2 linked regions of the Elephas maximus indicus genome follow. The protein of the gene in region 2 purifies or fractionates together with the protein of the main gene of each other region. This does not show direct contact. Links are inferred from orthologs where the notes say so. Each region holds a gene or a part of one and is shown on either strand. Other genes may lie near its edges.

What was found. Proteins that work in one complex are often made in the same cells at the same time.
Region 1: the proteins of PRPF4B (region 2) and PRPF6 purify together in Homo sapiens (affinity purification with mass spectrometry; 3 studies listed by BioGRID and IntAct, with this or other methods). This does not show direct contact. The link is inferred for Elephas maximus indicus from reciprocal best matches to the Homo sapiens genes PRP4K and PRPF6.

The regions. Positions count from the first base shown.
Region 1 is NC_064843.1:4,138,353-4,142,099, reverse strand, and holds the start of PRPF6 (pre-mRNA-processing factor 6), read left to right. Parts: upstream 1-1,414; 5' UTR 1,415-1,505; coding exon 1,506-1,576; intron 1,577-3,346; coding exon 3,347-3,515; intron 3,516-3,747. UniProt on the Homo sapiens protein: Involved in pre-mRNA splicing as component of the U4/U6-U5 tri-snRNP complex, one of the building blocks of the spliceosome.
Region 2 is NC_064819.1:45,206,229-45,209,975, forward strand, and holds the start of PRPF4B (serine/threonine-protein kinase PRP4 homolog), read left to right. Parts: upstream 1-1,148; 5' UTR 1,149-1,226; coding exon 1,227-1,363; intron 1,364-3,747. UniProt on the Homo sapiens protein: Serine/threonine kinase involved in spliceosomal assembly as well as mitosis and signaling regulation. Connects chromatin mediated regulation of transcription and pre-mRNA splicing.

The sequences.
Region 1 (3,747 bases), on a different chromosome or scaffold from region 2:
GCCCTCTCCGCCGGGCGCGCTCCAGGAGCTCCGAGGTGTGGCGGCGCGCGCGCCGGTCTACATGTGCAGAGGTGGTCAGCCGGGGCCAGGGGCAACCGTGCGCACCTGGGCACGGCTCCGGGGACGCGTGTCCCTGTGCACCTGCTGGGGGCGGGCGTCTGCAGGGGCCTCTGGGTGGGGTACGTGAAGACATGTCGGTCCCCCTGTGTGTGTGGGGGGGGCCTTGTACATCCCTCTGGGGGCTTCTCCCCACGGAGCCCTCCCAGCCACGCCTCCCCTCCTCCCTCACAGGCTTACTCGCTTAGCCCTTCAGCACAGTTCTACGGACCTCTCCCCGGGCCTCGCTTCAATATGCACCTGCTTCCTCAGAGATGCCAACTTGGCCTGCGCTTCCCTAACCACAAGGCGCTCTGAGGACCCAGCGTCTTTCGAGGACCCAGCGTCTTTCCCCTTCCCTCAGTAGCCCCAGAATCTGGCTCAGGCTTGGACGTTATATGAGACGCAGTAACTGAGGGGGGAATGGGTCTGGTGTGGGGAGGGACGCCAAGGAAGGCTGTAGCAGGTGGGAGGGACCCCCAGTGAGAAGTGATGGGCAGGCTGGGAGCAGGGAAAGGCTGGTGCGGTCCACCAGAAGCCTGGTCTCGCATGTTCGTGTAAATACGTGCATGCACACGAAGTCTGACCTGGACAAAGGCCCCACAACACACATGAACAAATGCTCTCATAGAATTCACTCGCGTGCCTGGAGCCCGCACACGTATGCTCATGCGACCATCCACGGTATGTATCTGTTCTTGTGAATTAGACTGCATTCAGGGGTCTCTTGTGCCAGGAGCTGCCGCGCCCTCGCTAGAGTATCCAGGGCCTGGGGGGTGTGGGGAGGGGTGTGGGGCGCTTTGCTGACCACCAGGGACTGGTCAAACTGGGGCCGAGGAATCTGGCGCCAAGGTGCAGGGGCGAGAGTGTGCACACAGGGTGTCCCCATCACAACACAACCCTGCGCAGCTGCGCACGCCCCGCTCAGGTGGTCAGCCCTGCCAGGGCCACTCGGAAGGGCTGCTGGGTCGGGTCAGAGGGAGGAGACCACACGGTCCGGGCCCTCGGGCAGGTCTCCTCGGGCACCGCACAGAGCAAACACTCGGGAAGCGTAAAGGCCATAGGCTCAGTTTTGGGGTTCCGCGGGTTTACACAGGCTGGTGTTGCCCTTTGACACCTCGGGCCGGCCGGGCACCTCCCACCTCGCCACAAGCTGGCGCTCCCGCACAAGCGCCTGCCGGCCCCCCAGTGCTACAGCCGCGGCCGGAAGTCGTCGAAGCAGCGTTTCCGGAACTTCCGGCCGGGGAGCCTGAGGGGCGGGGCTTCGCTTGGATGGCGCACTCTGCTTCCGGGGCGCGAGTGACGTGGGGCCGCGTCCTCTTCCTGCGCCCAGGCAGTTGGGTCTCTGCTTTTTCGCTGCGGTTGCGGCCTCACTTCTTCTCTTCCCGGTCTTTGGCGTTACCGCGGCCATGAACAAGAAGAAGAAGCCGTTCCTGGGCATGCCCGCGCCGCTCGGCTATGTGCCGGGGCTGGGCCGCGGGTGAGGCCTGGGTCGCGGGGCCAGCAGAGGCCGGGCGGGCGGGGCGGGACGCGCGCTCCGGGAGGGGATTCCGGGCCGGGGTCGGGCGTAGGGGCTGCTCCCTCTGGCCCGGCCCGGTTCCGTCCGCGGCTCTGCTTGCCTGGTCGACGCTGGAGGCCCGCCCTGACTCTGCCCGCACTTCTACCTGGAGGCAGCAGGACCTAGGGCATCCCGTGGATCGCGACGGGGAAGACAGACAATAGTAAATGAGGCTCTGAGAGATACTAGGTGGTTTGGCCTAAGCCCTGTGGGAGGCAAGGGGCTTTGGAGTCAGGACAGACCTGTCTGTCAACCTGCCTACTACTTAGTAGAGTGTTTCTGGGTTTAGGTACATATCTGAGCCCTTTTTTGCGTCTCTCCAGTGGGCGATAGATAATGCCCGCTTGAGATCCGCTGTGATAGATGAATCCCTGACATGTAGTGGGAATTCCAGGACCGGCTTCCCCAGACGGGGCAGGCCCACTCCTCCAGCTTGTCTTGCCTTTCCTCAGCGCCCGGGCTGGTTAGGTCCCTCTGTTGTGGCCACTCCTAGTGTTCCATTCTTTCTCTTTAGTATCTGCCATCATAAGCTGCTTGTTCAGAATGTCAGCTCCACAGGGGCTGGAATGGCATCTATGAACTTTGTGATTGGTCTCCCACACCTGCAACACAGATGGCCACCCTAGGTTGTTGAATAACTGAGCAGTCATTATCCTATTTGTTTGGATATTCATTTGGTTTGGAAAACTACTGCGTTTCTCTCTTGTGAGTACTAAGAATCTGTGGGGTACACGCAAGACTCAGATGTTGACCCCCTGTACAGAGGAGCTGCCTTCACTAGGGAAGGTGAGGTATTTGCATAAATAACCACATAAAGAGGAACAGGTTGAGAAGCCTTTGATCCAGATTTAGGAGGAGGGTCAGGTTTAGAGATGCAGAAACATGGCAGGGGTAGAGGAGACTGACATTCTGTATGTGGTTAGTGAAAAACAGGAGTGGCTTGGAGGGAGACGGAACAGCATGGAGTCCCATATGAGTGGAATGTGCAGTGAGTAGAAGGCAGCTGGAGGGGCCAGTGGAGCATTGCACATTAGGTTAGAGCTTGTGTCAGCATTGGAAAGACAGTGACATGTCATCTTGTGTTGAAGCCTGGATGAATCGGGTAGAGCAAGGGAAGGCTACAGGCAGGGGTGGCTAACTTGGCATCCAGCTATATTGGGGGCCATACAATCTGAGGAGGAGAGATTTCAGATGTAGAATCAAAAGAACTTGGAGCAGATTGGATGGGGCTGGGGAAGGAGGGAGGGAGGGAGGCAGAGTTGATGCCATGTGCTGCCTTCAGCTGAACTAGGGTACCTGGAGCAGGAGAGGAGTGCAGTCTTGGCCAAGTAGGGTTTGAGAGACTGATTGGAGTGGAGGTGGAGATGATCAGCGGGGTGTTGGAAACATGAGGCTAGAATTTGGGAGGTGGGAGGCCATGATGTCCTGTGCAGGGAAGGCTTGGGTGAGAAGAGGTCTCCTTGGTGGCGCCCAGGGTAGGTTAGAGGGGTCATTGCCTAGAGGAATGAGCACACCAGTGTGTTTGCAAGTGGCCATGCTTAGCTTACCACCCCAGGGTCTTTCAGAGGTTTCTGAGGTGTTAGAGGGGTGTTATTAAGCGATGGTCGAGGTTGGAGAGGAAAACACAGGAACAGGGTCACCCAGATGTGGCAGGGGGTGGAATCCATATGGATGTCCTGGGGTCTCCTGCAGTGCCACTGGTTTTACCACCCGGTCGGACATTGGCCCTGCCCGGGATGCGAATGACCCTGTGGATGACCGCCATGCTCCACCAGGCAAGAGGACCGTTGGGGACCAGATGAAGAAAAACCAGGCTGCAGATGACGATGACGAGGACCTGAATGACACCAACTATGATGAGGTAATGTGTGGTGTCTTCTGTGGCTCCCTGGCCAGTCCCTGAAGGGAAGGGCTGGACAGCTTCTGTTTTTTTGGCTTTAACAAACAGGAACTTCTTTCACAGTTCAGGAGACTAGATTTCTGAATTTAGGGCTCCAGTTCTAGAGGAAGGCTTTTTCCCTCTGTCAGCTCTGGGGCGAGGTCCTCGTTTCAACATTTGTGGACCTTGTGTTCCTTGGGAATCTACATGTGTC
Region 2 (3,747 bases):
TAACCAAAAAGTCGTAGTTCAAATCCACCAGCAGCTTCTTGGAAACAGTATGGAGCAGTTCTACTCTGTCCCATACTGCTGCTATGAATCGACTTGATGGCAAAGGGTTTCAGTATCTAGATATATGGTTGAAAATAAAAACCATTCTTGATATATTTCTGAAAACTTTTCCTTCAAAAGAAGTCTTCTAAGTTATTACACCTGAATCTGATTGTTAAGGATGGGAGTAATTCTTTCTTAAGAGAATATAATTAAAGATCCTATAAAGATATGCTACAATCCTGGGGAAAAAAATCCACAAAAGTCAACAATTATCTAAGGAATAATTTCGTATTCCACATTATTAAGGGGGGAGGGAGGCTTAATACTTTCAACACTTTTGGAATTTAGTCAATCAGTGCCTTATTTGGTAGAATATTTGGAACTGTTCCCCTATGGAAATCCAGAAACGTACTCGAGGAAAAATCCAAACTCAAGAGTATGGAGAACGCTGTCTTTTTTTTTTTTTTTTGAGAGGAATTTAGGAACTTACCTGGCTCACCAAGAGCCAGTAAATGTTGTCACATACAATATTTCATTACTAGAGTCCATCATTAAGGAAAAACAAAACCACACGAAACAATTTGGACCAATAAATAAAAAGAATTCATTAAAAAAATCAATCGTCAGAACCAACGAACTGAATGACTCCTGAATCGTGTTATTCTCAGACTTAGCAAAAGTTGAAACTAAGTTCCAAAGTTCCAAATAAATATATCAATAATAGTTCCATTTTAAAAGACGTTTACATTCTAGGTACAGTATTCTCAAAGTGCACTTCTACAAACCTTCCCTTAACGCCCCTTCAGACAATCGTCTAGCCAGGTTACTATTCCCGTAACACAGCCCAGGCTCAAAATAATTATTTCGTTTGCCCTGGTTTAAGAAAAATTCTAACCCAATTTCTGGGCCCCACAGCAAATCAGTTTTTGGATCTGCACACGCGAAACCCACATCCTACTCCCTTTGCTGCCTTCTCCAGAAACCTCAGGACCACATTCCGGGTTTCCGCACTGACGAAGCGACCCAGAACGCCAAGTCGTCCGCCCTTAACCCACACGCAAGCACCGCCCCCAACACCCCGGAAGTGGCATCATGACGCTCGGCGCTTGTCCCCGGATGCAGTGTTTTATATCCGGATTCTTAGAGCGGACTCACAGCTTCGTGTTCTCCAACGCGTTCAGCACATGCGCGACGGTTCCTTTTCCTCTTCCTGCACTACTGCCTGCCTGCACGGTCCGGCCAGCCGCTGCCGCTACCGCCAAGAAGTCAGGAAGTTCAAGATGGCCGCCGCGGAGACTCCGTCGCTGCGGGAACAGCCAGAGTAAGTGGTCTCTGTTAGTGGGGTCCGAAAGGTCGGGGTTGGGTAATGCCGAATGGGAGCCGGCGGGGACCTGCACGGACGGGCGGGAAAGTTGAGGCCTAGCGGCGGGAGGCAAACTTTCTTTCCCCGCGCGGTACGTTGTGGGGCGGCAGGCGTGGGGAGAGGGCGGGCGGCCTTGGAGCCTCGCTCCCCCAGAGACCGTGGCTGTTGGGTCGGAGGAGTCGGCGGCTTGCCGCGCGTCGTTGCCCCGGGAGGCGTAGGCGCGAGCGGCCTCTACAGGTGCGGTGCGCGGGGCGGCTGCAGCGACCCTGAGGGTCGCGCCTTGCTCTTCCTCCGACGTGGAGCGGAGCTCCCTGTACGCGCACTCACCGGCATCGGTGCTGGGGACCCGAGAGGCAGTGGCGGCAGGCGTCGCAAGCCCTAAGTCTTTTCTTGCCTATGCAACACCTCCGGTCGCCGTGTTATCGGTGTTAGTTTTAAGATCTGGAAGCAGAGGGAGAGAATCCGTGCTGGGGTCACACTCTTGACCATCCCAGATCTGTAGCTTGTGGACAGCGGGATACTTCCATATCCTCAACCTTGTACTCTCTTCCAGCGACCGCCCGGTATTTTTTTTTTTTTTTTTCCTGTTCATTGGCAGTTTACTTGCCAACTTGCAAACTTGAGTCAAAGTAAGGTAGCAGTTTTTAGTGTTGAGGCCTAGCATTTTTGACCTGAGCTTTTTAGGACGAGAAGAAGAAATAGTGGAAATTATTAGTTATTTCCAAACCAAAGGATTTTATGTTTATAATTAAGTTAATATAAGAGTCTAAGCCAAGTGAAAACATACTTTTGCGTGCTGCACAGGCTCAACATTGCTTAACTAAAAGCAGTATTTTATTTTTCGTGTTTATGTTGGGAAAACTGCAAACAATCTGAAAGAAATAGATCGTTAAACAGTATTCCTATAGCGACCGTTTTTTGCACGGGTGTTATCAGATTTGTTTCTAGCCATCTTAGGAAAGGGGTAGATAAAGTCTTGCAGCAACTTGTGACTGGAAGATGGGAGAAACCTTTGCCACTAGACGGCCTGTGTGCATCCTGTTATGGGCTCCTCCGTGTGATTTGCTTTACTGGGCAGAGAATATACGAAGTTTTTCAGTAAAGACTTTTGAAAGCTACTTAGTATCTTCACAGTTTGACTTAAGATTTCCGAACTAGTGTCATATAGACTTAGTCTCCTATTTTTCTGACTGAGTTCACTTGTGGTACAGTTATAACATTTATACCAATGCAGCACAAATCTCATGCTATGCAGTTGATTTTTCTAGTAGTCTGTGAAAAGTTCTGTAGTAGTATGTCCATTTAAAAAACCTCGTGGGGCAGTTCTGTTCTGTCACATGGGGTCACTGTGAGTCTAAAGTGACTAGGTGGCACCTAACAACAACAAATTTGATTTCAGGGGATGGTTCAGATTCATTTTGAGCAGTGGTTCAGCGATATTTTATTCACATTCGAATAATACTAAATTTAAAATAAACTTTGTGTGTGTGTGCGCTCACACTCGTGTGTGTATATACATATGTATATATCGAAACTCTTGCAGTATGAATGGCATCCATCCCCGCCAACAGAGCAGTTGGTGTTAATGGCATTTTACTTGGTCTTAACGTGTCCCACTTTCACTTATTTGGAAATATTTAACAAAGAAAATGAGTTTGATATGAAAGCAAGAACCATGCATGCTGCTCAATAGAGTGCTCAAATACAGTGTCTGAACAGTTCTTCAGAAGACATTGAGTAGTTTACAATTATGGTGCAGTGCAGTGAATCACTTTTATATGGCTTTTCTCAGTATTATCTTGTAACTCCCACCAAATGACCGGGTAACCCACTGCCATCAAGTTGATTCCGACTCATAGCGACTCTATAGGACAGAGTAGAACTGCCCCATAGAGTTTCCAAGGAGCGCCTGGCAGATTTGAACTGCCAACCTCTTGGTTAGCAGCTGTAGCATTTAACCACTATGCCACCAGGGTTTCCAGTGACTAGGTAGGACTATGCAAATAATATGCTTTTCCAATCAGAGGGATTGGACAGCTTGATAATAATGCAAATAAGGTATATGGCACCCTTGTGGAGAAACAATACAAATAAGGTGTATGGAACCCTAACGAGGGAATTGGTTAGTTTTTTTTAAAAAAAACAGAAATTTATTCTCTCACGGTCTAGTAGGCTGAAAGTCCAAATTCAGGGTATCAGCTCCAGGGGAAGGCTTTCTCTCTCTGTGGACTTTCACGAGGAAGGTCCTTGTCATCAATTTTCCCTTGGCTTAGGAGGTTCTCTGTGCAGGAACCCCAGGTCCAAAGGCTCCTGACACTCCTTTCTTGGTGATTTGAGGTCCC